Drosophila melanogaster: one gene and its partners. The protein of the gene in region 3 purifies or fractionates together with the protein of the main gene of each other region. This does not show direct contact. Each region holds a gene or a part of one and is shown on either strand. Other genes may lie near its edges.

Region 1 (7,131 bases), on a different chromosome or scaffold from region 3:
TGATCACATCAGAATTGACGTTGACATTGGCTACAATGTGGGCCAGATCACAAAGATCTTGGCCACTGAAACTCGAAATTAACGGCACCAAGCGCTTTGCGATGATTAGCTCGCGCTTTGAGAACTCTAAAGTTATGATCTCTGATTTTATTTCCGAAGTCTCTAAAGGCGCCTCGTTTTGACGCCAAAGATGAGGCGCCAAAAGGCGGTTCCAGTTCACTTGAACGCGTGGAATATTCAAAAGCTTGGCACGTCCATTATCCGGAGTTGTATTCATAATCATAAGCGCCAAGTTTTTCACATTGAAGTGAAAACAGTTGTAGCAGGCATTAACCACGTCCCGAGGCTTCTCTTCTAGATGAGTAATCAGTTGGACCAGGCGAACAGGATTCACTGGTCCACACATTGTGCCCTCGACTAGGGAGATCTTAAGCTGCAAATATGGTAGCAAAGATTGTCTGACTGTGGTCGTCAGTTGGTGTTGATTGATCGCGGATGACTCATCTTGCTGCTGGCGGGGATACAACTGAACCACAATGTTACGCAACTCAATTTTGTAGTTACAAGTGGGCACCAATCCCATCAGATACTCCAGATCAGGTATAGTCATTTCAGAGTTCTTGTTTTCCGGCTCGGGGACACCGCGATCCTCATCCTTCATCGATTCTGAACGATATCCCGGGTAATCGTAAGGACGAATTAAATCACTAATTACCTTTTTAACCTGGACGAACGACTGCGAAAAGTGGAACGTGATTCCGGCGGACAATAGACGATACTGGATGCGAACTCCCAGATCTCTGAGCTGGCTCTCCGCCACGGGATGGCTGCTGGGCTTAGGCACCCGGTGCTCGATGACGTCGAAGGCCAAAACAGGACTGCGAAACAGCATGTATTCATCCGTGTTCCTGGCCACGTAATCCGCGTAGTTGTAGCTGCACCAGGACCGTTCGGCGAACATGTAGTTCTCGTCAAACAGACTCTTGTCAATAAAGGATCGCTCTTGCTGAAACTTTATATAAAAAATAGTAAAGAGTGAAGGCAATAAACAGTCTTAGGATCAACTCACTTCCTGGGTATTGACCAAGTTGCGATCCACGAGATCGTCGCTACGGTAAGCACCTAATGGCTCCATGCACATGCTAGAAAGGCCCGCCTTGACGTTGGCCCAGTCGCACTCCTTTAGAATTGTCCGCTCGTAATAAAGTCCGCCCAAACTAATTCGCAATATTGGGGTGTATCGTATTCGCTTGATGCCACCCATGCTCTGGTCGGTAAAGTACTCCGAGTTTTTAAGCTGGAAGTTCAGCTCCTCGGCGTAGACTCCCAGATCGAAGGCGTGACCAGTGGGAGTGTCGCAGGACGAGGAAGGCGCCTCAGTATCGAAACTGGGCAGTAGGCTCCAGGCCCACCAAAAGACGCTTCGTCCTGCGGATTCGGTCCCCTGTTGCGACTCGCTGCCCTCAGCTACCGCCTCCTGATCTTCTGGATTCTGGGGGTCATCCTCAAACTCGGCTGGCTTAAGCTCGAGCAGCATTTTGACCAGCCTCATCACCATGGGGAACTGCAGAGATGACACGTTGATATCCAGCGACTTCGTGAAAACTCCAATGCGTGTTGTGCTTGTTGTGGACACCGTGTTGGCGTTGTACTTGCGGAGAACCCGGCACTCCAGAGTACATCGGTAGAGAACCGGCTCCTGGCACACCTCTATCCTACCAGCTGTGTTGCGCTTGTCCAAGCAGATGGTCAAATCTGAGACCTGGAGCAACTTGCGCATGACGACGGACACCGGGTGTATGTCCACCATAGTGGGCTTCCAGTCCTCGCCGGCGGAGCTAAAGTTAAGGGTCTGCACATTCATAGAGACCACGATGTCGTCCTCCACATACTTCAGGATGATGTTGTGGCACTGCAGGTTGATGTTGTTGATGATTTTGTTGACCACGCTGGAAGAGCTTGCCGGTCCAGGACTCTTCGTCTGATCCGGCTGCTCCACGGACTCCCGCTTCGATTTCCTTCGCTGCTCCCGCTGGAAGGAGGCCCTGCGCTGCTTGCTCTCACTATCCGGCAACTTGGCCACGAATTCTATGGTATTGATGACGATCTTCACGGGCTCGGACATAAGCTTGGTCCACGGCACCAGGATGCTGAGTTCATGAATGTGGCCGGAAACTAGTTCTACTGGGAGGTTCAGCTCTTCCTCGAGCACCTCCAGGCGCAGGTCCAGATTCTGGAAGGTGACCTCGCCTTCCCACAGCGACACTTGGGCATCCTCGTCGCGGAAGTTCTTCACGTACTTGGCCACGTAGCTCAGCAGAATCGGAGTGATGTAGGACTCCAGTTTGAACATGGTGTGGCGACGCCGGAGGCTCAGGCCTCGATCCCAGCGCTGTTGACTGCTCACTTATATGACACTCTTCATTTAATGCGTTGCCGGCGGTTAACTTGAATTTACATGCTGTGAATTTTGCTACAATTCTGGGCCGAATATGTTTAACAAAACAAACATAGCCATAGAATTTTGGATTGTTTACGTTTCAGCCCCGGCAATCTGCCAATCGTTATCGTTATCGGAAGGTGCGAATTGGCAATCGATAAATTAACCTGTGAATTGCGAAGTGTAAATAAGCCTTCGAACAGCTGATTATTTTGTTGACGTTTAACGTGCAGCGGTAGGCTTTCACAATTTCATAAAAATGCCGCAAATTACGGAAAATGGCCAGGATTTTGGTGAGCTAAGAATGGGTCTAAAGTTACGCAGAAGTGATAATACAAGCTTTCACCCTTAGATGTGGTCAAATACTTCCTGCAGCTCCTGGACGAGGACAAGGATCTGTCCTCCGGCATTGCGGCTATCAGGACTCTGCTAATGATCCTGGAAAAGAAACAATGTTAGTGGGCTAATAAACCTCTTTACTGAACCATTTTAAATCATCTACAACATATTCCTCAGTTGGAACCATTCATATTCTACACACAACCATGAGGGAAGCGGTGGCTGCCATGCGGAATACGGATTTGTCTATAGCAGCCATTGTTTCTGCCGGAGAGCTCTTTTGCAGGTTCATCACCCTCAGTCTGGACGACAAGCACATGGAGGAGTGCCGGCAGATTATGTTGAATCGCGGAAAAATCTTCCTCACCAAGTTGCTCAATTCCCGGCAGGTTGGCTCTCATACGAAAAGCTAGTGCTAGCGCATGAACTAACCCCTCATTGTACCACCCAATCCAGGTGATTGCCCAGCAGGCCCAAAGGTTCATTACCGATGGCTGCCGTATATTGACGCACTCCCGATCCCGGGTGGTCCTCAAGGCGCTGATTACAGCCTCGCAGAACAAAAAGTCCTTCCACGTTTATGTGACGCAGGGCGGCACGGGAAACTCTGGGTAAGCTAGGGTGTGTTTCCGATAGAATTCAGGTGTAAGCATTGTCCGTTCTTAGCGAAGAGATGGTTAAGGATCTGCATGCGGCCGGCATCGATTGCACGCTCATTCTGGACTCAGCCACCGGCTATGTTATGGAATCGGTGGACTTTGTGCTTGTGGGGGCTGAAGCCGTGGTGGAGAGTGGTGGCATTATCAACCGCATTGGCACCTACACCATGGGTCTGTGCGCCCGTGAGATGAAGAAACCTTTCTACGTTCTGGCCGAAAGCTTCAAGTTCAGCCGTCTGTATCCACTCAATCAGCGCGATCTGCCAAACGAGTACAAGGTAGGTTCTTACTGCGTCATTAAAGCAGGAACGGCGATTAAGAGTGGGTTTATTTATAGTACTCCCGCAAACACCTAAACGATGTAAGCAAAGTGCACCCGCTGGTCGACTATACGCCACCCGTCTACATCACCCTGCTCTTCACCGACCTCGGAAGACTAACACCCTCGGCCGTAAGCGACGAGTTGATCAAACTCTACATGTAAGGGCGAATAAAGATATTGCACTTAAATACCTTTGTTTAATATGACTGTTTGAGATGAATAAATAGGGGCTCGACATTACTGAATGTACATAAGCTATAAAGCTAGTTACTCTCGCTTACACCTATGTAGAATTTATATTGTGTCTTAGAACCGCATCCTTCGCGAATAGCTCGCGTCTACCTCGTCTTCTGACCCCCAGGGATCGTAGATGTCCACGCTGTAGTGGGACGCTTCGCTGTTGCCATCGTCGTTTGTGTACTCCTCATCTGTATAGATGTCACTGCCGCTTTCGTCGTCCGACCAGTGATCGTGCATCCTAAACTGATCGTCGAGGCCATCCTGAACGTCGTCCACATCGCTGGCATTCTAAACAAAAAAAATACCAATTTATAATGCCACATATGCATTTTAATAACAAGCAACAATAACCGTAAAAAAAACATAACAATCAAGTAAACAGGTTTTAAAATACGAGTATCAACGAATTAGATTTGCAAGACAACTGCATCACTCACAAATTGCCCGGACTGAATGTTGATCTCGATCTGCAGGCGGATGTCCATGACGAGAAATGCAGTTGTGACTATGACAGGGATGGTGAGACGACTTTTCCAAGCGAGGTCCGTGAGAAACATGAAGACTTTACCGAACGTGGATTCCATTGTGATTTTGTTAATGCTCAACCGAGGGCTTATCCTCCTACTCCTCCTCCTGAGCTTCTTCTGCCGACTGCTGCAGAGCGTCGTGCTCCACTATGTGGAAAGTTTCGCCCACGTTTACGGCCTGAACGGGCAGCAGGTGCCGATGGAGGCGACCGCTTTCGATGGGCGCGTCTAGCTCAAGGAACTGCTCGAAAATGGAAATGGGCACTCCCTCCGAAGACAGCAATCCCCGCATGCAATCCTGCCGCTTGTCTCGCAGGTTGTCCAACAACTTGTTGCCCTTCTGCACCCGGGCCAGCTTCCGCTCTGAAATGAATGCTATTTAGTGGGCTGCTCTTCGTTTGACAAACTGTGTCCCCGTACCAAGTAGCTTTAAATAGTCGCTGGAATCCGGAAGGGGCTCGATTTTCCCGTCCTTTTGGACGTTGCTCTCGTTTCCAGAGGGCAAGGGCGTGAAGTTGTCCTCAAAACTTTCGCTATTATTCGCGGACCCGGAGATTCCTTGCTTAACTATAGTATTTTTCAAGTGCCAGGGATCGGCATTGCCAAGTGACATGTTTTAAAAACCAAATAAACCTACATAAATCCAAAAAACTCCTACGAAAATATTGTATTATTTGCAGTGTGCCCGTTAGGGCAATCCTCCTGAAATACCAAAACGCCCCGCGAGCATATTCGACATCCGCACGACATCCGCAATAATTTAATTTTAATAGGTTTCCTCAAATTTAATAAAAAATAATTGTTTAACTAAGATCGTAAAAGAACATATTTTCATGTATCTGCTCTGCATAATATTTAAAGAGACTAGCATTAAAAGTTTTCGCATTTAAACAAATTATCCGCAAATTACCCACCCGGTATTTTCACGCTCGCGACACGGTCATACTGCTTGGATCAACGCCATCAACACCATGGATGTTTCGGCTCTTTCGGAGACAACTTTTAGTCCTGCGGAATGGATAAACGCAAACTACAAGAAGTTTGTGGAGGAGAATGGTCGCGATGATAGCGAGGCTGCCTCCGCCTTCATCAGGAGTTACGTGGCCAAGTTGCAGCTGTATATATTCAACGTAAGTGGAGCTGCACATCCATGGATCTGTTGTAAACATTATCGATTTCCAGGTAAACAATGCTGTGGAGGAGTCAAGTCGCCAAGTGGTGGCCAGCATGCCAAGGATCGCTAAGGAATCCGCAGCGCTGCAGGCAGATGTACACCGGCTGCAAGAGAAGATGAGTGCCATGCGATTGGAGGTAGCTGCAGTGCAAAGCGAAACCGGCGAATGCATGGCCACCTTGGAGCGCTTGAACACCAAAAGCCAAAAGCTCCAAGTGGCCAAGGAATCGCTACAGGAGTCTGATGGCTGGGGAAACCTACTAGCTGAACTAGAGGATGGATTTGAACGCAATGATCTAAAGGTGTGCATAGCAAAGCAGTCTCACTACTGAGATCCCATATTAATTAACTCTTTACAGGGAGTCTGTGATAAGCTAATAGCCCTGCAAAAGTCCCTGCACGCCCAGGAACAGCTGCCAGGCCACGCTGAGCGACAGACCCAAGTGGAGGACTTCAAAAACCGCTTGGAGGCGCTTGCCTCCCCCAGCGTGGTACAGTGCTTTGCTGAAGGCAATACGGAGCAAGCCCAGCACTTCGTTCAGATCTTCACCAGCATTCAGCGGCTGCCACAGCTGCAGCAGTATTACCGAGCTGTGCAAAAAAATTTTTGGCAGCAGCAATGGAAGCAAACTCTGGAGTTGCAGGGCACGGAGTCCCAGCCTCAGCAGCAGCAGTTTCTTACCCTTTACTACGATCAGCTGCTCGAGCACTGCCAGCGCCAGGTCAAGTGGTGCTCCAACCTTTTCGGCGAGAACTCCCCGCAGCCCTTCCTGGTTATTGCCGAACTATTGCCGGCATTGCAACCCACACGGGATGCCCATATTTTGCAGCTTTTGAAGACCTCCAATGAAAGATTAGAGATGCTGGCCTTGTTCGCCAAGGTTAATCACAGTTTTGTGCTGCACTTAAACTCCCTTCTTGAGCAATCGCACATAACCTTGTCCGAGGAATTGCATCGCCTGCTCGGTGAGGCGATTTTCGAGTATTTCCACAAGTTTATCCAACAGTACCCGCGCCTGGAGGAGACCCAACTATCCACACAGGTAATGCCATGTAATAGCTAAGGAATTTTGAATTTTATTCATAAATATTCCATCTCAGGTGGATCGCCTTTCCTCCAACCAAGCCACTCCCAGCGATGGTGTGCGACATCTAGAGGAGAGTACCCGGAAGCTCTACGAGTGGCTGAAAGAGGCCTGCGAACGTTGTGCCTCTATTACGAGTGATTTGGCTCTTTGCAAACTTATCACCTTGCTAAACGGCATATTCAAGCGGCAGCTGGAGAGCTTTGGGCGCATCCAACGTCAGATTGGACTCAGCCTGGGATCCAGCAGCTATGCGGCTCAGAGTGAAAACTGGTCGCTGTTGCAGTACACCATGTCTCAGCTGCAATGCCTGGCCGACTTTCAGGTTCAACTGCATCAGTTCGA
Region 2 (9,135 bases), on a different chromosome or scaffold from region 3:
ATTGTTACTCAGCAAGCGGGAGTACAAATTAGACATTTCCAAATCCTCAGGCATATGAATACACAATACATAAATATAGTAATAAAATGAAAAACAAATACATTTTTTTTTTTTAATTTTTGGCTTGTGGCGCATGATAACATGATCCGATAATAAATTTCGTAAAAACTTTACGATTTCGATTTAAAATCGCAAAATCGTAAGAATTTTTTTATTTATAAAACGGGCACTTTTGAATGGCCGTAATGAAAAGTAAATGCCTGTTTTCTATCAAATAGGATTTTATTTACTAAGGGGAAATACGTGGTCTATTGATGTTTATTCCACACCATTACAAGATTATTCTGACATTTAGTTATTTTAGAAAAATTTTTTCTGACCTCAGATTTGACATACGATATTTTGCCGTCGGCAACAATTTTCGATTAAGACGTCACCAAAAGTTATCGCGAAGGTTGCCGTACTGTTGGTGAAACGAATAAGGCAAGTAAAACACTTGTATAATATATAAAAGAATTCATTAATAAATTTAAAGGAGGGACAAACGTGCTGATCGTAAATAATGCTATTTAATTTAATTACATAAATGGACAATGTCCAGTAAAAAAGTAATTGCGAACAACGGAATTAAAACTGTAAGGAAGGTGGCTGCTCTATTGTTTGGAAAACAGTTAAATAGCTGTTTTCTGTTTACAAAACATTCCAATAGCAAACATTTTGCAAAAACCAGAGCAGACTTAAAAACGAAATCAAAAGATTTGGCCACGATTTGCTACGATTAACGCAGCATTACTGATAGAAATTAACAAAACAAGCAGTGAAATAAAAAGACCCCAAAAAAATGTCGAAACTGTGGGCATGACAATATGCTCTGCGAAGGAAAATAAATTGAACATAAAAACAACAGAGAATGCTATAGTCTAGAAATTGGCAAGACAAACCAAACTTGCGCTGCGTCTGTGTCTCTAGAATCTGTATGCTTAATCTCAACGCAGCTTTTATAGTTCCTGAAATCTCGACGTTCATACGGCCGACAAAATATCTTATAAAATACATGCTTAATAATATGAGTACGTAAATATTTTCTTACCTGCGTTGCAAACTTATGAATAAAATCAATCATGTTTAAAAAGATTTCCACTCCTACAAGCCGACAAAAAATCGCGCGCCCACACCTTTGATAAAGATTTTTGGCATTTATTTTTTTTGGCTAGACTATTGATTCTGACAAAAAATAAAAAAAAAAACGTTACCTGATAAAATCTTTTCAAATAATCTTGTCTACGGATAAAGGGTAAAATAGGGTAAAGACTAGTATAAATTGGTATCCAGAAGGATTGGAAGATGGAACACTTCCCAGAGATTTATCGAAATTAATTTTGCAGAAACAACTGGGAAACAACTGTCAAATACTTGGGTATCTATCACGTTAGACAATAGGCTAAAATTCAAAGATCACATAAGTGACACAATCGAACAACTTAAAGCCATTATCTGCTCGCTTTATCCATTTATAAACATAAATTCCAGATAAAACATTGAAAACAAAATGTTCTGTTCAGGTCAATCTTCCAAGCACTATCTTTTTACGGTGCTCCAGTATGGTCAGAAATGGCCAAATGTCACATTAACCTGCTACAAATCAGACAAAACAAAATATTAAAACTAATCTTTAATCACCCTTGGCATCACTCAACAGCTCATTTACATAACCGAGCCAATATTGAAGTGGTTTATAATAGATTAATAAGATTGTCCCAAAATTTCTCTATTAAATGTCAAGAGGCTGTGCACCAGCATATAAATGATTTGACCTATCCACCTTAATTGTAATTTTTAGATAATAGCCTTTTTTAAGTGCTTAGATTTTTTTTCAATTACATAAAATTTTTTTCCCAATCGGTATAATATTTTCATTATCATATTATTCATATTGATATTAATATCTAAGTAGATAAGGTTTAATTATTGGCCTGTACTCTTATTATTGTTAAGGTTAAAATAAAAAAAAATTGGATGTCATTAAGCGTGAAATAAATGAAATGAAATAAAATTTTGCGGAGTTTATTCTTCATGTAATTTTAGCTAAAGTGTGAACTGTAGATTTGCCGTGTTTGTTTTACAGGCTTCTTAATTGACGTAAATATATGGGATATAATGTCATGAGTCAAGAGATTATCAAATATTAAATTTTCTGATTAAAATTAAACGAAAGTCCAAAAATACAAAAAAAAAAACAACTTACCGTAGGCAAAATAGTAATACTATTTGTAACGTTCTGTGTCGAAATCATATTACCTAAAATAGTTTACTTTCCACTAATATGTACTTGGACCGCACCCTACCAAGAAAATAATAATTTCTACTATTGGCGACAGCTGTTATTTGTGCGAATACAAACATGCTCAAATTAATAAAAGTTACGCTTACAGTTTGATTTTAATTTTTACGTTTCATTTTATTTTTTAATAATCTCGAATCTTGATTTTGCTGAATGCTGGATTTACTGGCCATTACCTTTCCTGCCCATTAAATCGTTGTTAAACATTGAACATTAATGAGAGTTTCGTCGCAGACTATTTCGTAGGCTTAGACAAGTAAATAAAATGTAATTGGGAATGTGAAATAGGTGGTACCTTGATTACAAATAAAAAAGGTACGATTTCGAAAGCATTTTAAAAATAAACATTTCAGAGTATTGCTGTAAAAGTTGTTTTTCGTACTTTTTATTGTTTCTATGTGGTAGTATTTTTTTAGCCGGTTGGCATACATTTTTCTGGGGTTGTTGCTGGCAGCTTTTTGTTACATTTTACTGAATTTTTAGTTTTACTTTGTTCGATATAAATATTCATACTCAAAAATAAGATACGGTTGTAAAATTAAAAATTGTAAAGGATTACATATGTTATTTTGCCGTAATTGTTTTGATGTTTTTCTTACTTAAAGATTTTGTTTGCAATTTGTTTCATTCGCTTCGTATTTTTTTTTACAATTATTAAATTTGACGCTTTTGTTTACAACTTTTATTCTTAAAACATAGAGGGTCTCGCATCTTAATTTCGCTTAATATTGTTCTCTTAATCCTTCGCTTTATATATATATATACTTTGCTTTAAAGTTAAGATTTTAAGTAAGTTTTTAAATAATAATGGATTTTTTGTTTTCGTTTGTTGCCGGTATTGTTGGTTGGTAGGTTGTTTGTTAGTAGAGAGAGAGAGAACCGGTACGCTATAAAACTACGCTCCCATTGCCGGATTGTTATTGGAGAATTGCGCCCGCCACCCAAGCAGCCACCCACGTATCACCCGCTCACAAGAGCGGAAAATGGATACAGTCCGGGTTCCTGGCGGTAGAACCGTAATTTCTGTGATTTGCTTTTTTTGTGTTAGTAAGTATTTAATAAGTAGATTACTGAGTTTGCTGCTCCGCGGGCGATTCCCTTAGGCGGCCACTTCGCTAGCCTCGGCCCCATTCTGAACCTCATCCTTTGTGCTGGCCTCATCAAGCTTAGCCTTTTTCTCCGGCGTGGCGACGGCCTCATCTGCCTTGGCTGCAGCCTCATCCACCTTCCGCTTTACAGCCTCAATGGCGGGAGCATCTGTAAGGCGATAATAAAAATTGAACAATAAGAACATGAACGTGGAAAATTTGTTTGGCATTGATATCATTGATATCATCATACCTGTTGAGTCACCGTTGGTGACCTCCTCGGAGCCATTCTCGACAGCAGGTAGAACAGCTTCGCTGCTCTCTTTTTTGGTGTCCTCCCCATCGGCAGCGGAATCCTCTTTTTTATCCTCGTCCTTCTTCTCATCCTTATCGGCGGCAAAAGAAACAGTGGGCTCAGACGCCTTTTCACCATCGACTGCGTCGGTGGGCTCGGTCGCGCTGCTGTCGGCGGCTCCGTTCTCCTTGGCTACGCTCTCCTCTTCGGCGCCACCGTTTTCTGTGATGCTCGCCTTCTCAGCTGCTACCTCCTCGGCGGCAACTGCATCTTTCTTCACAGCATCAACTTCCTCAGCTGCGACCTTCTCGACAACAGGGGTCTCACTGTGGGTGATAATCAGAGACGAAAGTCAGTATGCACTTATAATTTTTTCCGAAGGTGGCCGAACTGAACTTCGTATGCATAGCATTCTACTACATACAAAACTCTAAACAGTAAATCAATTAAAAATTATCAAAAACTAAAACTATTAATTATTAATTAATTAAATATTAATTGAATTTAAAAAAAAAAAAGAAAAATTTCAATATAGCGCCGGTAGGTAACGTTTATGTTTTCATCCTCCACTTTCTATTCATAAGAGCCCCAGGACGTTCGGAATTAAAACTAAAAAAAAAGTGCATTGTTACATCTGCCGGCGTTTTTCAAAAATGGGATCAACAACTCGTGCAAGCTGCGACGCAAAAGGAAGCGCGAAAAGGTGAGTGCGATTAGGCGGCACGCTCTTTTTCATATAAATGGCATATATTCATTTGTTATTTCAGTGCTCTCTACCAACAGATGAGAACAGGGTAGAACCAAAAACACGCTTGCAGACGTGCAAAATGAAAAGCGAGACCCGTTTAAACTAAAACGAACAAAGATAGAAATAAAAACCAGTTTTAATGGGATTAATGACAATATAGTCGTTTCTCTCGCACTCATCTACCAACAGATACTCGCCATCTGAGGTAGATAGAATTCTATAGGGCGAACAAAAAGAGAGTTGCAAAGTAGCAACGCTAAACGACAAAAATAACGGTCCAAACGATACAAACAGTAGCATAACGTCATACAACCTGCGTCTTTCAAAGAAAACCGGAACAGCCTTAGGCATGAGTTTTGTTTTGTTATGTATTATAAGCTGCAACATATAATAACTACTTAAAAAAAATATATACATAAGTGTTCATCGATAGGGAAAGAGGGAGTATTTTTGGTAATGCCAATATAGATATGCGTGAAAATTTATACTGTTAATTTCAAGCTTCGAGCTTTAAGCTATCAAATGGGTATAAAAGGCAAGCCTCGAAATTTGATGTCTGGTGAGAAACGCAGCAAAGCAACATACGAGGTAGCACAGACAGATGAAATGAAACAGCACAAGAAAAGAGCGGCAACTTGAATGCTGCACACGCATACACACACACATGTCTATAGACTTTTGCGCATTTGGCCTGTCGTCCGCATACACTCAACGCATTACTCCGCCGCTACACACACACACACAAATAATTCATCGTTGCTGTTTGCCGGCCGGAGAAAGAGCGAGAAGGCACCATGACGCCGCGCCAAATTAAACGGCGTCGGTTTTTGCGCGCACACCGTTTTGCCTTTGGCGGGAACGAGACAACTACATTAGTGCCAACAAGCGGTTTGCGTATATAGACACAGAATTCAAAAGAAAATTTCCAAATCTTTTCGGCAAATAACATAGATTTTCATTAGCAAAATTCGCTACAAGTCCATTGCTTAAACAAAATCCACAAACGTCCGAAAACAAGGCAAGCAAAGTACTCACTTCTTTTGCTCAGCCACATCAGCCATTTTGAATTACTGTTAGATATTACTTTTCAAACGCGAAGCGAGAAAACACGTTGTAACTGAGGGTTTTTGGATCACCAAGCACGCCTTAAATATCAGCACAAAGATTTTAAAAGAACGAAATTTTATCAATATAGTTTCCTCTTTAGTAGCTTTGCTAAGAAAGTAGCTTGGTTGCTGGAGATTTTGCCGTACAATTAAGAACGTCCACACAGTCACAAAGAAAAACGCCGAATGAGAGAGCGGTGAGCGTCGGACCGGCTTTTAAAGCGCCGCCCTGTAGTGTTGGTAGACGTCGGTAGTCCGCTTGCGATAGTTCCGCCTCCGGAAAACATATCTTTGTTTGTTATCGTTATCACCCGTTCTCTATTTAATTCGGAGTTAGCTTATGCTGATAGATTTTTACAATTTTATTTTAATATATTAAAGAGATGAAATATAGCAGTGACAAATATTTCAAAATAACGGTCCCCTAAAAAGGGCTGCCACCTTTTAACTATTATTTAGCGGCTACACAAATATAGCAGGTAAAATATTCAAATGCATTCCTATCCTTGTTTTTCTCATTGACCTGAGTGATTTTTCGTGTAATACACCTTCCCAATTCTAAGTTTTTTTTTTGATCCGGTACTCCTAAAAATTAAATAAACAAACACACAAACATGTATGTTCATATATATATATATACACATATCGTCATTTTTAAAAAATTCAAGCTTTTTATTAAATTACATCAATCAATTTCCTTGTAAATTACACAGTCTACAAGATCTTAAAAATAATATCTTAAAGATATGTCATATGTATGTAATCAAACACATAAAACCGACGGAAATAATCCTCACCCCTCTGAAAACATTTTCAGGTAGTCAGATATGCACGCATAAGTACGTACATACATACATATGTATAGTGGCCTTGTCTGCGTCCCTTGATCGGTATAATAGAAAAAAGAATTAGAGTGCGCTACCAGGCAGCTGGTAAATTTTCTGCTTCACTAAAATTTTACAATATTTTAGGCTATTGGCAAGGAAAACAATACACTAGGACTGAGATTCCATTGCCGAAGAACATAGACGCTATTATACATACATATAATTACAAGTTTTCAATTTTCATAAGTCAACATTTAATTTTAGGTCTCATGCTAAACTCCACTTATTGATCTATATTGATTGACGATCAATCCTCGGTCTCGAGCTTTTTTAATATGGACTTTGGGCTGTAAAATTTTAATGGGCTTTTGCAAAGACACTAGAATAATCTAGTGTCTTTGGCTTTTGGAGTGAAGTGCATTCGCTCTTGGATACAAGCGCTATTAGATTTTTAAGATTTTATTTATTGAAATTCAAACTTTTGCTTTCGAGCTTGTGAGTGTCGGCTTGGAACGTGAAAACATGCTGATTTAATAAAATTGGACAACGGATGTTTGCTTTACAGGTGGGTGATTTGTTTCGGGTTTTCGATTTCATCGTCTGTAAAATTTTGGGTTTATTCCATTTAGCCTTGCTTTGGGGTTGTTTCTTGTTTCTAAAATATAATTATAGGAACGAGGCATTCGTTTGTATTGAAAAGTCTTTACTTCATATAGAACCAAACATGGTTTAAAGATTGCCGTCAAGGAAAGTATGACTTCCGAAATCCGAAGGGCATCTCCCAAAATTTCGAGAATTAGCTTTTGAAACTTTCGACACGATATTCTAAGGCGATATATCGACCAATAATTAAAGAAAACAGATTTTTCCGCGACGCAGGAAATTGGGCACTACTGGTCTAAGGTTAATATTCTCAACCATTTTGAAATCCCCTTGAACGCACAAAAAAGATTGAATTCAAATCAGTTATGCTCTAATGTCTAAGTTCGCAGCAAAGAATTATATACGTAGATAAGCACGTACATATCAATGAAGATACCTATATTCTTGAACAGAACAAAATTATATTTTCATCACAAAAGATGATTTCAGAGCAGTAAAGGTGTCATCGTTACTAGTTTTTTTACATCGTTGAGGCGGGCTTTGATTTGAAATCAGTAGATTTTTTTAAGGAAAAAAATCAACGGATCTATTTACTAAATTCATAATTTGTGGTATTTAAAAAATAACATTTAGAAAAATAGACTTGGAAATGCCTTTTTTTTATTCTGAATAAAATTCTTTGGTCCCCAAATTACTTACTAATGTATAAAAAGTATAACGTAAATATCTCTTACTCATGTTTGTATACTATGTTTAGTGGACATCAATAAATGCAACAGAACTCTACTATGAAAAATTAACCAATTTTTTTCTGAAGCGTTATTTACATTCTGTAAGGCATTTAATCAGTGTGGCTTGCATTATGAGTAAGTGAGTGGCAAAAGCAAAAAAAATGTTCAACCCAAAATTCGATAAAAATATAAATTGCCATACATAAGCATTTTTAAAGCCGCGAAACCGGCCACGTCCACACTTTTGAACAATTTTTAAATTTTGTCGAATTTTTTCCTAATAAATTTCTCCGTTCTGAAGTTATTAATTTTGGCCAGAAAAAGTGGTTAGGTTTCCCATAGTGCAGTCCACCCCGACACACTCACACAGGCGCTGTCAAATAGCAGCTGCACTCATTTTAAGGTCAGCTGCATTCATGACGTTTTCTTCATCGGTCAGTGGTTGCCTATTGGCGGGAGACCTTAATGAGATTTAATTAACTTTATGCTCTTCCGGTAATATTCTGAATACGCTATTGTGCAAAGGGACTCTTATCAGGATAGCCCAGCTGTACCGTTATCAGTGCATTGCTTCGATCGCATGCGCAAAAACGAGCTTTCAGCCGAAAAAGCTTGCTCTCGTTCGACCTCTGAGCGTTTAAACATGAAATAACGGAGGTCCTTGCTGGTGAGGCTGAAATCGACAATCAGTCAAGTTTATCGGGGCGGCTTAGTTTAGTCGAAGGATATTGCTCGGTGTCTTGCGTGCAAACTTGCTAGCAGAAAAAATTTAACACATCGAAAAAGCAAATAACCAGCATAGCAAACGTATGTTAAGGAAGTAATCAAGGCGGACGGTTATCAATAACTTCCAAATATCTTGGACTTATATGCTGGAGCTGTTAGTTACTGGGATACAAATTTAAAGCAAACGAGGGTTTGTTGCAATAGGCAGAGGGTACACACGCTCGCGAGCTGTTATACAAATGAAATCAAATAGAGCATTTAAACAAGCCTTGAGAAACTGAGCCTAACTCACACAAAGAGGAGAAACACATGTACGCGCATACCTAGACAAGAAAGTGATTTTCCACAAGAAAAGGGACGAGAGGTGTGTGTTACTTAGTTTGTCAGTCGAATATTTCTCAATGGGGAAATGAAGAGGTAGTCATATGAAGAGAAAGAGGCAGCGGTGGGGTAGAGAGCAGCGAGAGAGCGGACGAAATTTTCTGATTACAGTTACCGTGGTCTACTATGGTGTCGAATGCTGCAAAAAAGGATCACGAGTTTTAACAGAACAATTTCAATATGATAACCAACTTATCTGTAGTGGTTAGGCAACATTTGATATTTATAATGTTTTTGTTTTTTATGTTGTCATTGAACAGTTCCATTACGGCAATAAATGTGCGGTACA
Region 3 (8,386 bases):
AGTTTCTAGATAATCGCCTCCTGCCCGCCGACAATCAAAAGTTGATCAAATCGATCCTACATCGTGTTAATAGTATCAGCGACATTATGCGGAATATTGGTGGACAACTTAACACGTCGGAGTCCTCGAGTCTGGTATATAATCACTGGTTTCTGGACACTTCGGTGCTTAAGGAGTACACCGAACTCCAACGCAATCCCTACTCCTTGCAGGTTGGTTTCTTACTCAGTTTCTGGCAAAGCAACTTCATGTTTATGCCATTTATCATCGGCAGAACCTCGTGTCGGTGAGCCATCATCTGGACAAGATCATGGCCATGTTCAGGGGTTCAAGGTGTCCCAAGCAATCAGCGAATGACTTGATCATTGAGTTTTTGAGCAACCACCTGGAGTTCTTTCTGCGCGTGGAGGCCCTTTCGCATCTCTTCCAGAGCCAGGATCAACCATTCCAGCAAAGTGCCTTAGACTATCGTCTCTGCATCAATGCAGTTGCAGTTGAAAACGATGGTGATTACAATATTATAAAAGGTAAGATATCGGTTACAAAACTGAGAGATCATGCCATTCATTAACATATTTTAGATCATCTTGAGAACTATTTCACTGCCACGTTCTACAACTTAACGACAATCGCTCCGCACGACTGGAAATCGTATGAAAAGATGCGTCATTTGGCCAACAAGGTGCTGCAGCTGCAACCCATCGATGACCACCTGCCCAATCAGATAATTGACCAGGTAACCAATTGAATCATCAATAAGCAATCTCTTCTATTAACCAAACAATTCTTTCCCACTTTCAAGGGCATAGACGTGCTGCAGATCATGCGGAATATACACACTTTCGCCTCCTCGTATGCCTACAACATGAACCTGCAGGTGTTCGTGGAGACGAACAGCAGGAGCAAGCACCTCGACATCATTGGCACCCGGCACGTGGCCAACTCGGTGCAGACGCACGGCACCGGTATCATCAACACCACCGTCAACTTTATATACCAGTTTTTGCGCCAAAAGTTTTACACCTTCTCCACCTTCCTCCACGACGAGCAGATCAAGTCGCGGCTGCTCAAGGAGCTGCGTTTTCACACGGAGCACAAGCACAGCAAGTCCTATCAGTCGTATCCCTATGAGCGCGCCGATAGTTTTCTTAAGAAGATCAGAAGGCTAGGCTGCTCCAGCAATGGCGAGACGTATATGGATCTTTTCAGGAAGGTTATCACACAAGTCGGTAGGTGGTTAAAGACCATAATTCAAGAAAATGCTTAAAATATAAACGTAAATATTGCTTTTAGGCAACGCTGTTGGCTATGTGCGCCTCCTGCAGGCTGGAAGCAAGAATGCCAACTTCCGGAATCGCTCGTATAAAACCAGATTCGACAGCAACTTCAGTTGCGGGGGCTCCAAAGTGCACGAGGCTACGGAGGGTTCCATCAGGGAGTACGAGAAGAGCCTGGGTCACATGAAGGAGTGCTATTCCGATAGCACAAATTACTTCAAGGTGCAGTCTACGATCTTAACAAGTTAGGTAACCAGCTTAACCCATGGATTTATATTGCAGCTTCTTCTGCAAGGCTTTCAGCCCTTTTTGTGCAATCCACATAACCACCACCTGCGAACCTTCTACCTCATCACACCGGCGCTCATCATGAACTACATTGACTACCGGGTCAAGCAGAAGCTAAAGATCTACAAAAAGGACCAGACCAAGATCTCGCTGTTCGAGGATGGCTTCGCCATCGGCCTGGTCTACATCCTCAACATGCTGAACCAGCAGACGGAGTTCCATGAGCTGGGCTGGAGCCAGACGATCACGCAGCACCTGAACGCGGAGCGCTCCAAGGTGCGCGACATTTTGGCGGGCCAGCAGCGGACGGCGCCGGAGCAGCTGGACGAGAAGCTTCACCAGACAGTGGCGATAACCGAACGACATGTGAACGCCTACGAGCATGAATACAATCTATTGTACGCCACCTTGAGTAGCTCCGAAATATTCTTCCAATAAAATATGTCCATTTACCAAAACCAAAGATCCCAGCAGTGACAACAAACAATTGAGTAGTTGGTTGCCGTTTATTCAGATTTATTAAGACGAAAATACAATTCCGATTCCGGTACATAGCGTAGAACGTTGGTATATATATATATATATGCAATTAGATAATCAGCATTACTAATACTATTATTAGTAGTAAGTAAGCCAACATCAAAAGATCAAACATTTTTCTAAGCCCCTCTCGACTCTTGTCGTCTCATTGTTTTTCTTCTTTGTTTTTTTTTTTGTGAATGGAAATGTTAAAGTTACAGATTTAATGCATATTATATAGCCAATTGAACGCTTTCTGACATTGGTGGGCACTAATTCTATTCACTTTTGGCCCCCACATACAATTGATTGGCCAAAGGAAACCCAACATGTCTATTGAAAATATGTTGGTTTGTTATGTATTTTTCTCGTAATATTACAGTACAGTAATTGGTAAAAAAAAATGTTTTGGAGAAAATGCAAATGGTTTTCGTCTTAACAGATTTTTCTTCTTGCAATGTTGCTGTTGCTTTTGCATCGCACCTTCTTAAAGAGAACCAGAGTTAGCCACAATGATCTTCTTGGAGGTCTTGCCAGACTGCGATCCATAAGATTCGATCTTCTTGACCACATCCAGTCCCTCGACGACCTCGCCGAAGACGACGTGCTTGTTGTCCAACCAGGCGGTCTTCACAGTGCAAATAAAGAACTGGGAGCCGTTCGTGTTGGCGCCAGCGTTGGCCATCGACAGGATGCCGGAGCCGGTGTGCTTCAGCTCGAAGTTCTCATCGGGGAACTTGTTGCCGTAGATGGACTTGCCGCCAGTGCCGTTGTGGTTGGTGAAGTCGCCGCCCTGGCACATGAAGTTGGGGATGACGCGGTGGAAAATGGAGCCCTTGTACCCGAATCCCTTCTCGCCGGTGCACAAGGCGCGGAAGTTCTCGGCGGTCTTGGGCACGACATCGGAGCGCAGCTGCAAAATACAAACAAAAGGGTAGAAATTTCGTTAGTAAACAAGAAATTAATGCTAACAAAGTATGACTCTTTTTCAGTTCTTCAAGGTTTGTTTATCCGAACTCGGATGACCTTGCCACTACTTTTTGCTTATTTATTTCTTTTTTTTTTTGAGGACTGGACAATTTTCTGTATAATTCATGTTGAGCGGCAGTAAACATGATCAGCTGTTTTTTGACGCCGCTTTTTTTTCATCGCCATTTTTAGCCCTTTGATAATATACATATGCATGTTCATATGTATGTGCATATCTATACCAAGGGAAAAAATACATATAATGCACAGAACTTTGCAAATGCACTAGAATTTGAGCAATTTTCCAATTCACCCAGTAATCGAGACAATTGTATAAATTAGTCAAGTAAATGCTTTTCCTAATGCCGCTTCTCTATAAATCTTCAATTGTTTAGTGTAGTAATTCGGCGTGAAGTGCAGAATTTTTCGCGCACTGCATGTATGTTCAAGTGTGCGTATGTACATATGTATGTCCTATTGGAAGGAAAATCCTAGACATGTGGCTTGGTTTACTTGGCGGGCAATGACTTTATTCCCAGGCCACTAAAAATATACATCAAGCATTCGCGTTTCCTATTCTTTTTCTCTATTCAAAAATTAGGTGTACATTACATCATCGGCGGAATTAATAGTGAGTTCATGTTTGCAAACGGGTTTACAGAACTCGCGCATTCACACCCGAATATCTCTGTGTGTACACTGTACATCTGCGCGTACATTACCCGCATGCACACATGTACATATGCAAGCACGACAAGAACATACAGACATACGCGAGTGACCGCTTAGAGGTTATGTTCGTGTATTGATCTGCATGTGTGTATGGGTATGAGCCACACATACGCAGACCACGCCGGAATGTACATATATAGCACACATGCACAGATGCATATAAAATACCGGTAAAAATTGCACACCATTTCGGCCAAAGTTTGCCGACACGTCAATTAAAATAAGGAAAATTCCATTCTATAAAGATAATACCACCAAATGGCCGATTTGCGGGGGTTGGTGCTCCTGCTTGCCTGTTTGCTCAAAATTCAGCGATGTAGAGATAATTATAGAGATTTTCCGATTAAACGCGCCTGTCCAATTGGGTTGGAAAATTGAAAATTTACCCATAGCGCATTGTCATGCAATTAGTCATGGAAAGTAATTGCACTTGTCGCTTATAAATTAGAGGGCGAGTTTGCGCTGTGTGTATATTTGGTACAAGTTTTAAATCCGTAAAAATAAAAAGAAAAAAACGGTATGTACTTATCACCTGAGGCAAATAATGTAAAACACAGTCTTAGCTTTAGGCGTAAGAAATGGCTTTATGGGAAATCACGTGTTTTTCACTTTCTGGTCAAATGTCACAAAAAAAAAAACCTCAACTTAAGTTTAAAATTAAAAAAAAAGGGCAAATAACTCACCTCCATGACGATCCGACCGAGGGGCTCGTTGTCGGCGGTCATATCAAAAAACACCCTAGGCAAAGTACTCATCTTTGACGCTTTCGAATATTCGCGAACAATCTGAATTCCAAACTGCAACTGACCCCTATTCACACTGCACGCTGACGAAGCTAGGGTTATAGATTTGTTAGCTAAAATGGCGGACTCCGCAATCTGAAATGCCGCTGCCGACCTGTGCCGAAACTGTCGAATCAGAGTTGCACAAAAAGAGACCATCGTGTATGGCTTGCGACCGCATGTACGATACTACGATATCGTTCCGTGCGTTCCATTCCGCGCGTTTCGCTGCTGCTGCGGTCGCAGCAATTGTTACATCACTTTAGGGCGCCCATAAACGCACTTTGTGCTGCCCATTCCCCCATCAAAACGGATAAATGGTCGCGTTCATGCGCCCTTTTTACAATTTTTATAATAAATAAATACATTTACTTGCGCTCATTTGAAACCGCCAATCGAAACAACGCATTCGCCTTCGTTAAGTAAATATCTTACAAAAAATTACAGCATCGTGATCAGCGATCACTCCTAAAAATCAAATATTTTTTTGCTTTTAAAGAGCCATTAAAATATAAAACTTAAAGTTGAAATAAACACAAGACTATTAAAAAATTAAGATAATTGAAAAATAGTGGTCACTTTGAAATAACCATTATTCTAAAACAGCACATTGTAAACCCAAAAATCACGGCGAAATCACAGGATTATTATAAAGACTTTTTAAGCATAAATTGTTAAAGCATATATGCAGCTATTTCTATAGCTTTTTAAAAACAAATGTATTAATTATTTTTATACATGTATTCATTATTTTAAATTACTTGTTTTAAATATTAACGTTTCGATAGTTCAATTGTGCGTGTCGCATTTTCTATTTTGCCATTTTAAACTATAGTTAATAACTAATAATAGTGTTTTACAGTATTAAGTCTTACAAACTTTTAAATGTAATTTGGAGAAACGATGGAAAATAAATAAATAAATATAAATAATTTTTGTTTAAATGGCACGATAAAAAATAATTGACCTAACAAGACAGCCTGTTTCAAAATTATTTTTCGATTACTTGAAATGATTGCTCACAAATAATCAGCAATTATCGGAACAATGTTTTCAAATTTGTTTTCCGCTTTTTCTCGCGCCTTTTGTTGTGGTTTTTCTGCCGCGAAATTTGAAAATGGCGTTCAAGGTGAAAACTAGTTGGTGATTCATTTCTGAAAACGTAATGAATGCAGCTGCACGGTCTCAACTACTCTGAGTACTTTTCACCACCTAATTGACCTTTAACTCCCAGTTTAAATGAACTCGTCCTTCTTTTTACATTTATCACTTTATTATTACAATAATGATACGTATATTCATTTACAAAACATATCCATTCATTGTTTTTACATATATAGCATTTCATTTCCCAAACCCATACCCGATCCACTATGAAATAGTGAGATTACCATTTGCCTCCCTCAGTGAATTTAAATGAAAGAGATTAATACAAACCCAACTCGAATCAGAACCGCAAGCCACGCCATTTCATTAAACGGAAATAAAGCATTAGATAAACGCATGACAAAGGCCAGAAGAATTTCTGATTCAGAAGTAAAACTAGAAGGAAGTATAAGCATTGTTTACAATACTACATACATACATACATCAATTGGCAATTAATTACATAAATTAGAAGCACCAAACAAAAACGATATGGCTGGCTAGCCTGGAGCAGCAGCACCTTGGCATGCTTATCCCCGAAAGCGGTTGAACTATGGACACCTGTTCCACGGCTACATGCATATTAATATAAGCGAAGCAAAAGCTTAAAAACAGTGATTATCGTGCTCTTTGATTAATCGCTTTGGAATGCCAAAGTCAAAGCGTTGAGAAGGCGTTTTACAGATTCGGATTCGAGATATATAGCGGACGCCCAGACTTAGAACTAAGAAGACTTTTGTAGAGCGAATCGCAGGATTAGCAAAAAGATGCCCACATGGGTCCACACTTGATGGAATACCCGACTCCCTCCGCTGGCGGCAGCCGCAACGAGCGGCGATTTCTGATTGTCACGGCACATCGTTTGGTTCCGAATGAAGTTGAACATGGACTCGACGAGATTCGCCGGTGTTATGTCCGAGCATTGCTCCAGTTTACGGACCACACACGCCTGCAGAGTCAGCATCTCGTCGCACTGTTTCTGACCGACCGTCAGCTTGGGCATGCTCCTGATGCGGTTGTCCTGCAGATCCGACACGTTCAGGTACTCGGAGAACGTGCTGTTCACGCACTGCTGAATGTTGTCCTTCTGGGACTCAATGCATTCGGGTCCCTTTTCGGCAATGAACAGGGCTATCTGATCGCCATCCTTGTGGCACACAAAGTTGAGCAGACTCTGGATGATCTGCTTAATGACATCCTGGCCCTCGCGCTCCTCCTGCACCAGACAGGGCACCAGTTTGGCCGTGAACGCATCCACACACTCGACGGCATTCGAACGCCGGCTGCAGTACTTGTTGAAGACCACATCCAGTTCGCCCTTGGGCGACGCTTCCTGTATCTCCTGCTGCATTGCCGTGTAGTTGACAATGCCATTGAGGCACTCGGTTAGCACCATGAATCCGGACTCGATCTCGCCGTATGCCTCGACGCCCGCCTCCTCGCCGGCCACCTCGATGCATTTGTTGCGAAATAGCTCCTTGGCGTCGTTCACGCTAAAGTTTGACTTCCTCAGCTGGTCGGGCAGCTGGGTCTGGATCTGATCCAGGTCTAGCTGGGCCATTATGCCGGCAGTGGCGAATATAACCAGCCAAATGGCGTATATCGCATGGCTTACATATGTCCTGTGCATGATGTTTGCTGTATTTTTTGCACTCCTCTTTGTCTTTTTGCTTGCCTCCTCTTCCGTTATTCTCCTTTGCTCTGGTTTTTAAGCTCTGAGATTTGCACTTTTGTTTGTGATTCTATGCGCTTCAAGCAAACATATTTGTTCGTTTTGCGAAATATGCCTATGCCTTTGGGCAATTGGAAAAAATTAATTTAATTAGGAAATCACTGGATGGAAATCCCAATTGGAGATTCTATCCCACCCGTCGGCTAGAGATGGCACTTCGTCGATGACGCTTTCGATGCAACAGCTCACTATCGGCTTTCCGCCGATAAAAGCGTACGATCGATCTATCTCTAGTTCAAATGAACAAGTTCTCGTAGAATTCAGTCTTTATTCTAATCTTCAGTGTTTTGTTTTTTTTTTTAGTCGAAAACCAGTGTCAGCAAGTTGAAGGCGAGAGTAGTTTGGAGGTCGAGGCCTTGGATATTTGTGTGTGGCTAGGGTGGCACATGTGCAATAAGGAGGCGGAGGAGACATGGCCTCCGCGGAGCAAAGAACCGAAGTGGACGCCCTTATGATGGGGCCGATCTCGAAACTAAGCATGCTGCTCACTGTGGTGTCCATTCTGTGGCGCTTCGTCTCGATTTGCATCAACTGGAGCCTGGCGTACGTGTACTGGATGGAGGAGTCCTACGGATACTGCGCCTGGACCATTGGCTCCATTCTGGTGCCCATGGTGGTCACATCGGTCATATATATACATACGTATGTGACATATCGCGATAGCGTGTACTTCCCCCGAAATCTACAGCTAAACGATAAATTTGTATTTGAATTTCAGCTTGAAGAGCGCTCATGCCGGCGAAAAACGCATCCTGGAGCGAGGGGTGTACTCAAATGCTGTGATCTCATATCTCTTCCGCGATGTCTATGTCCTAAACTATGCGTTCAAATACTCGTTGGCCAAGGAGCGGGATGACAAGCAGGCGGAGATCGAGTGAGTAATGCTAGTGTCAGTGTATAAAACTAGTTAATAGTAGCTTAATGCCCTAAATGGTAGTACT
Region 4 (6,732 bases), on a different chromosome or scaffold from region 3:
TGTTTTTCACAATTTGTTATTTGCACACAGAGCAGATCCACCCACACCTGTGCACTTCCCAATTGTATGTGGATGTGTGCGTGAGCAGAAGAAGCAAAATCCACAGATTTACAATTTGCATCCTTACCGAATAAGTTAAATTCTTGACTTTTCCAATGTTCCTTTGTTGCTCCGCTCTTTTTGTCGTTTGTTCTTTGACATTCAAATTGTGATTTCGATATTTTGGTGCTTTTCAATCTGAATCTTTTCCACTTTTGCCCCTTCGATTTCCTCGTTGGCTTTGTTTTCGTTTTTCTTTTCTCACACACTCACAACTACACACACAGTTCACGCAAAAGCTCCGCTTTGTTTTAATTTAGTTATTTATTTTATTTTTCGCAGTAAACTTAATTAAATGTATTTTTCACGTCGCTCTTTTCGCGATCACAAAACAGCAGTGTGACCATAAAAGGTGGGTTGAAAAGCCCGAAAGGTTTTGGGTTAAAATTACCAAATCGAGAAATACCAAATTTTTAAGACTTTCATTTCCTTGTTTTTTTTTTTTTAATCTACAAAAGTATTAATTTAACAATCAAAGTCTATTAAATATTTTTGAATAGTCAAATATTAATGTGTATTAAGTTTTTGTTTAAAAATATATATGTTATTCTTTTTTCTTTTCATTTAAGCTACAAATAATTCAAAGAATTATTTCTCAAGCTAGCGTTAGGCGCCAAGACCGTTTGTTTTCTTTAATTTATGGTATTTTTTGAAATACCACTGACTTATGTAGTGTTGCGTGGCGAAGTGGTGTTTCAGTGTTGTGAAGCGCCGTAAGTCCGTTTGATTTCCGATTCGGCATTCGAAATTGTTTTCCCTTAATTTTCGTGTCGAATACAAGATTTCTGGAAATGAAGACTGTGCCGAAAAAGAAGGAAACGGCCCTGCGCTTGCGGGAGTCGCGCCGTGAGGAGCAGAAACCAGAGACGACAAACCTGCCGCCGGACGACGACGCAGAGTCGGATTTGCCCATTCGGGGCCGTCCCTCGAAGAAGCTGCTCATCCAGCAGCAACAGCAGCGTCAGTACCAGGTAAAGCTAGATCCGAAAGTCAAGACGGTCACGTCGGGCTCTAGCGAGAAGCCTTCGACATCCTCGAGTGCAGCCGCAGCCGGCGCCGGAGGACGCATCAAGGCCAGGAGAGTGCTCTACAAGAAGAGCGTTGGAGCAGCGGCAGTCGCCCAGAAGGCGCCCGGCGAGACCTACGTAATGCGCCTGTTTGAGCGAAGTTTGGACCTGTCCAAATACCAGGATAAGACTCCTTTGTACCCCATATGCCGCGCATGGATGGCAAATCAACCCAAGAATCCAGCTGTGGGTGCATTTCAAACAGATGCTTCACTCACGGCCACCAAACGTGAGGACAACGGCGAAGAAATCCTGTCCCAAATTAAAAGCGGCGAGATAAAGGTGATCAACCAGCTCCCGCAGGCCAAGTCCACGGATCTGCCCATAATTCCGCCTCGTCTGGAGTTCAGCCAGGAGGACAAGAAGCGGGAAAAGGCTCTCCAAGGTGCCAGTACCTCCGATCTTCTGTCCTCCAATATGAACCGCTGGAAGAAAGTGCGCGGACACTGGATAAAGCATATCAAGAAGTATGAAAAGGAGCGATATGAAGTTATTGACAAGATTATGAGCTTGGTCTGCAAAAACTGAAGCGTATCTAGGTGATTTTGGAAGTGGTATAGAAAATGAAAAATAATTTGGATTAATTGTGCACAAAGAATTAAAAAAAATCCTGTTTCCAAATCGAATATATATGCAAATAAGATGCTTGTACACTTTATATACTTATATAAAATAAAATCAAATTTGTCAAGTAGACCACTTCAAGTCTATCAAGAGAATGATAAAGCGTTTTTATATTTGCATATTTTCCTGATTAAAAAATAATATGAAATGCATTTGTATTGCAGCACGGAAAGGCAACCGCAGCTGATTTGATTGGATTATCCCAAGATTTTTGATAAGAAAGACATTTGTCATTGACTTGAATAAATGTTTATTTGTATTGGTAGAAGATGCGTTCCCTTTGCGGTTAAATTAGTTCTAGTTTAGAGCTGTGTATGAAGTTATCATTATTATTTTGGGTTGGCAAATGCTGCTGGATTGTTCTGGTTCCGATTATGATGTTCTTCGGCTCGTCGCCGGTGCGCCGGTCCGCAACCCCCTGCGATTTGGTTTGGGGTATACACATTGGGCATCCTGTGCGCCTATTCGACCTTGAGCAGCTCGACGTCGAAGGTGAGGGTGGAGTTGGGCGGAATGACGCCGGGGTGGCCACGGCTACCGTAGGCATAGTCCGGCGAGCAAATCAGCTTGGCGCGCTGGCCGACGCTCAACTGGGCAACTCCCTCATCCCAGCCACGGATGACCTCGCCCTTGCCGATGGTGAACTTGAATGGCTTGTTGCGGTCGCGCGACGAATCGAACTGCGTGGAATTCAAGGCGGATCATTAGCTGGGGATGGCGAGGATCGGGATTCGTACTCACCTTGGTGCCATCGTCCAGGGTGCCGGTGTAGTGGACCGTGACCTTTTGGCCATTCTTGGGATAGGTGCTGCCTGCGGGCGGGGAATGCAAAAATGGATGTGTGTGAGCGGGACGACCATATTGTCGCAGGTATTTCCGAATTGTGCATTGCGAAAATGCACTAAATAGGTTAGAAAGGCCGGTAGTTTACGGCATTTCTTGCGGATTCTAACCCAATCATTGGATACTCACCATCACCAGGAGCAATTGGAACTACTTGTACGCCCATTTCGATTAGTTTTTTTCTGGCAAATTACCGAGCGGAAAATAAGCACGTTGATTTCAGTTCGTCGCGTCGCCGAATGACAGCTAGCGGTGGGCGATGGTCGGTGAGCGGAAACTATCGCACACATCAATTTGATTAATTATCAAAACCAATTGCTTTCCGAGTTATCGATAAGGACGTTTTTGTATTTTGGCGCGTCCGTTTGAATTGTTTACTATGAACCGAAAGAATAAAGCAGTGCAAGATCTTGCCTCTTATCTTAAAGTCCGAGACACATTGGTCATTGGTCAACTTGTATAGGTCCCCCAAAAGTGTGCTAAGTATTAAATAAACATAACTATAGTTATATAATTTATTTAAATTCCTCGACTCAGTTATTTGTTATCAACTGTCACAGTTTGATTGCCATCACTCGCAGCTTTGTGTGTGGGGCTGCCGGTGTGAAGATCACTCGTCCTTCATCGTCCTTATAGTCGGCGTAGTCGATGGAATAGATGCACTCCATGCCCAAGGCCCCCTTCTGGCGAGCGGAGTAGAAGCTAGTGCAGAAGGCCATCATAAGGGGGAAACCATTCGATCGGCCCAGCTCCATCAGGGTGGCGGCCAGGCGGGAGCCCAGGCCCTTGCCCCTCTTCCACGAGGCCACGCTGGTCACGTGGGAGTAGAGCGCCTTCGGGATGTCGTAGCGCTCAAACAGATTGACTTCGCGCTTGGCCTTCATTAGTAAATGATACATTCGACCCCAAGCGTTATCCTCCACATTCTCGAGCTTCAAATTCAATGTTCCTGCATTCACATTATCGGGATAACTGGCACATGCCAGAACTAGACCCACAATCCGGCCACCATCGTTTTCATCCAGTGCCAAAAGGCTGGTGCCCTCGGCGATTATCGACTGGTTGAAGGCGTCGTTGATCTCCTCGTTCTGCTGGTGAACGGGTTCGCCGCTGGACTGGCACAGAGGCTCCGATGTGTAGTACTCAGCCTCCATATAGGCTTTTACCTGTGCATAATCCTCTGGGCGCATGATGCGTATCGTGACGCCATCTATTGTCGTGGGAGTCATCGCGATCCGGAGCTAATTCGTTCTATATGCTTTTCTTAAGACAGAAGAGGACGCCGATGTGTACATGGCTTTTATACTTCGGCGCTTATCACTGATAATGGCTTATCATATTTATAGATTGTTTCTGTTTGGCGAAGAGAAAGTTGTTTCCAACGGCTTTTGGTTTTATTTTTAATGAAGTGCCAGACTGACTTATCCTTTTAGTAATAAACATTTTTCGAATATGGTTTTCTGACCCAAAATCTTTGAGGATAAATACATCGAGTGGAAAGTGATTACTTAATATCAGATTTTGTAATTATTGCAAGGTCATGTGTCGATAAATACATAATCAACACAATATCTGAACAATAAAGTAGACCGTTCTACATTTTATTACTTTATTTGATCCATATGGACTTGCGTTTCCAGCTCGACGACCTTTATCAATTGCCAAGGCCAAAGTAATAATTAATTAATAAATTATTTTAATTTTTACATTTTTGAGGCCAAGACCCGAATGTGGGTATGGGGCGCTGGTGGATTATATATCGGCCGACCCAACTCGTCCTTGTAGTCAGCATAGGCCACCGAATGGATGCACTCACATCCCGCTTTCATCGCCGACCGGGAGGAGTAGTGATTGGTTCCGCTGGTGATGAACAGAGTGTGTCCCCGCAGGCGACCCAATTTAAAGAGACATTTGGAAAGTATGACCAAGATACCTCTTTGCCTCATTGAGGGGTGAACGGAGATGACCAGCAGACTCAGGTAGGAGGAGACTCCGAAGCGTTCGAAAATGTTGGCTTCGCGCTCCACTTTGGCTATAAATTTCCTGCTGCGACCCAAAGCATTTGGCTCCATTTCCTCGGCTTCCTTGTGCTGCTTGGCCATTTCGATGGGATCCATCGTCTCCGCCACGGCAATGCCAACCAGTAGTCCCCCGTTGTTATCGTCCAGTGCCACTATGGATAGTCCCTGCCTGATCACCGCCAGGTATTGCCTATCCACTTCCTCCTCATGCTGCAGGTGAATGGGCTCCTCGAGACCCATTCCCATGGGCTCGTCGTAGTGAAAGTAGTCCGTCATGAAGGTTTTCACTCTTGGATAGTCGTCCTCCTTCATAACTCGTACGGTTATGCCATCATTTTGACTAAGAATCATGTTGGACTGAGCAGCGATGTTTGGTTTCCCGGCTTGGTATACTATGGTTCATTCTACATGACTGCAGGAGCCTTTTAAAGAAACCGAACTGAGTTATCTACAAATACAAGTTCAAGAACTTCCATTGTTTGCTATATTCAAGGTGGTGCTCAAATAAGATAATACGTTGCATTTCCAAAAAAATGAACATGTTGGTATTAATCTTTTAATCTACCGATAGGTCTAATCTACAATAAGATACAGTTTCTTTAAGAGGAAGAGGAAAAAATTAAAGCAAGAGGTAATCACAATTCTTCTGCATCAGCAAAATGCAGTATTCATGAAGAATCTTACGTGCTTTCGGATTCGATTCGTGCCTGTCCGGATGACAGGATGGCGCGTTCTTCTGATCCATTGTCCATCCAGAAAATCTCCTCGTCTGTCCAATTCCGCATAATTTCAGATGGAGCGAGCACGTTTGCTTCTGCAAATGGCCAGATGTTGTTAACTATTGGCAGCAGCGATACTGTGTTTCCCTGTCCAGAACTCGATACGTTTGGATATATTTGAGAAATTTTCAAACATCTTCATAATAACCTGTCAAACAAAAGAGAATATCAGCATAACTGGCACGTGGTTTTAATAATGCCTAAAATTGGTTTGCCAATTTGATAATGATAACATTTTTCGAGCATAACTTTTCTTATTTTATTAGCATTCGCATTCAATTAACATATAAATTAACATATTAAATACAGAATTGCTTTAAAGGTTATTCCATTATCATACATCAGTAAGAAATCTATAGTAAAATGTAAATTTTTTTTATTTCCAGTGTAGGTCATTTGCATATGTGTAGTATGTTGATAGATTCGAAACTCACGTGAATACAGAATCAAATTACTTGGTCAATGAATATTATTATGAACTGTTTTTTGTTAGCTTTTACCATATTTGTTAACAGGCTGATATATTTTTTAGAGTGCAAATAAAGTAGTTACTTAACGAAACATTTTTATTATTATAAATTATATATTATTATAAACTGTTATCAAAATCATCGCTGTTACAAAATAAGAATTATAATATTGCTTGCATATTATAATTCGATATATCTATTTCTCTCAGTGCAAATTTATGCGAACAAAATATAGTTTTATAATGCGTGCCTCCATTGACTTCGTCACATATAAAAAGAGACGATTCTCCGGTGACTCCCAGTATCAAAAATAAAGCTATGAAGAAGTTATTTGCGGGACTCGCATGCATCCTTTTGGTGGCATTACTACTTTGGTAGGTAAAAAAAAAACGGATTACAGTGAATTGCTTCTGATATATTCTGATGATTTGTGACAGGAGTTATAAATACTTTTCCGGACAAAAAACCACAACACCGCTCCTGCCGATGGTTATCAACACCTGGCCCTTTGCGGAAGCCAAAAAGGAGGCGTGGCGACTGCTCAATGTGAAAAAGGGCGGACTTGGACAGACGAGAAGCGCCGTTGTGGGCGGTATATCCATGTGCGAAAAGCTGCAGTGCGCCAAGACTGTTGGCTACGGCGGCAATCCCGACGAGCGCGGAGATACATCCCTGGATGCCTTGCTTATGGATGGAGGCACCATGGAGGTGGGTGCTGTGGGCGATCTGCGACGGATCAGAAGTGCCATCAAGGTGGCGCAACATGTCTTGGAACACACGCTTCACACCCTGCTAGTTGGCGATGGGGCCGATGAGTTCGCCAATGCCA

Evidence for each region.
Region 1: the proteins of Cyp1 (region 3) and CG42557 purify together in Drosophila melanogaster (affinity purification with mass spectrometry, with the first as the bait; one large-scale study listed by BioGRID). This does not show direct contact.
Region 2: the proteins of Cyp1 (region 3) and Df31 purify together in Drosophila melanogaster (affinity purification with mass spectrometry, with the first as the bait; one large-scale study listed by BioGRID). This does not show direct contact.
Region 4: the proteins of Cyp1 (region 3) and Fkbp12 purify together in Drosophila melanogaster (affinity purification with mass spectrometry, with the first as the bait; one large-scale study listed by BioGRID). This does not show direct contact.

Annotation. Positions count from the first base shown.
Region 1 is NT_033777.3:29,931,396-29,938,526, reverse strand, and holds CG42557 (uncharacterized protein), read right to left. Parts: upstream 5,241-7,131; 5' UTR 5,141-5,240; coding exon 4,948-5,140; intron 4,891-4,947; coding exon 4,622-4,890; 3' UTR 4,585-4,621; coding exon of another isoform or gene 4,438-4,584; intron 4,289-4,437; coding exon of another isoform or gene 4,067-4,288; 3' UTR 3,940-4,066; downstream 1-3,939. Other genes in the region: Vps13B (vacuolar protein sorting 13B), read right to left, coding at 1-1,012, 1,070-2,353; eIF2Balpha (eukaryotic translation initiation factor 2B subunit alpha), read left to right, coding at 2,700-2,733, 2,793-2,894, 2,957-3,168, 3,236-3,390, 3,446-3,716, 3,776-3,922; CG42558 (uncharacterized protein), read right to left, coding at 4,067-4,288, 4,438-4,584; Cog7 (component of oligomeric golgi complex 7), read left to right, coding at 5,499-5,657, 5,710-6,003, 6,061-6,744, 6,803-7,131.
Region 2 is NT_033779.5:21,624,160-21,633,294, forward strand, and holds Df31 (decondensation factor 31), read right to left. Parts: upstream 5,774-9,135; 5' UTR 5,534-5,773; coding exon 5,508-5,533; intron 4,818-5,507; exon of another isoform or gene 4,492-4,817; intron 4,428-4,491; exon of another isoform or gene 4,303-4,427; intron 4,051-4,302; coding exon 3,683-4,050; intron 3,599-3,682; coding exon 3,441-3,598; 3' UTR 2,150-3,440; downstream 1-2,149.
Region 3 is NC_004354.4:16,315,611-16,323,996, forward strand, and holds Cyp1 (cyclophilin 1), read right to left. Parts: upstream 4,761-8,386; 5' UTR 4,727-4,760; coding exon 4,469-4,726; intron 2,998-4,468; coding exon 2,572-2,997; 3' UTR 2,063-2,571; downstream 1-2,062. Other genes in the region: SWIP (strumpellin and WASH-interacting protein), read left to right, coding at 1-212, 275-527, 582-736, 803-1,229, 1,294-1,499, 1,560-2,003; CG9917 (uncharacterized protein), read right to left, coding at 6,438-7,343; CG32579 (uncharacterized protein), read left to right, coding at 7,858-8,087, 8,164-8,319. UniProt on the Drosophila melanogaster protein: PPIases accelerate the folding of proteins. It catalyzes the cis-trans isomerization of proline imidic peptide bonds in oligopeptides.
Region 4 is NT_033778.4:19,286,256-19,292,987, reverse strand, and holds Fkbp12 (FK506-binding protein 12kD), read right to left. Parts: upstream 2,880-6,732; 5' UTR 2,800-2,879; coding exon 2,763-2,799; intron 2,603-2,762; coding exon 2,532-2,602; intron 2,471-2,531; coding exon 2,252-2,470; 3' UTR 2,026-2,251; downstream 1-2,025. Other genes in the region: mip40 (Myb-interacting protein 40), read left to right, coding at 891-1,694; AANATL4 (arylalkylamine N-acetyltransferase-like 4), read right to left, coding at 3,188-3,862; AANATL6 (arylalkylamine N-acetyltransferase-like 6), read right to left, coding at 4,337-5,005; CG10474 (uncharacterized protein), read left to right, coding at 6,390-6,732. UniProt on the Drosophila melanogaster protein: PPIases accelerate the folding of proteins. It catalyzes the cis-trans isomerization of proline imidic peptide bonds in oligopeptides.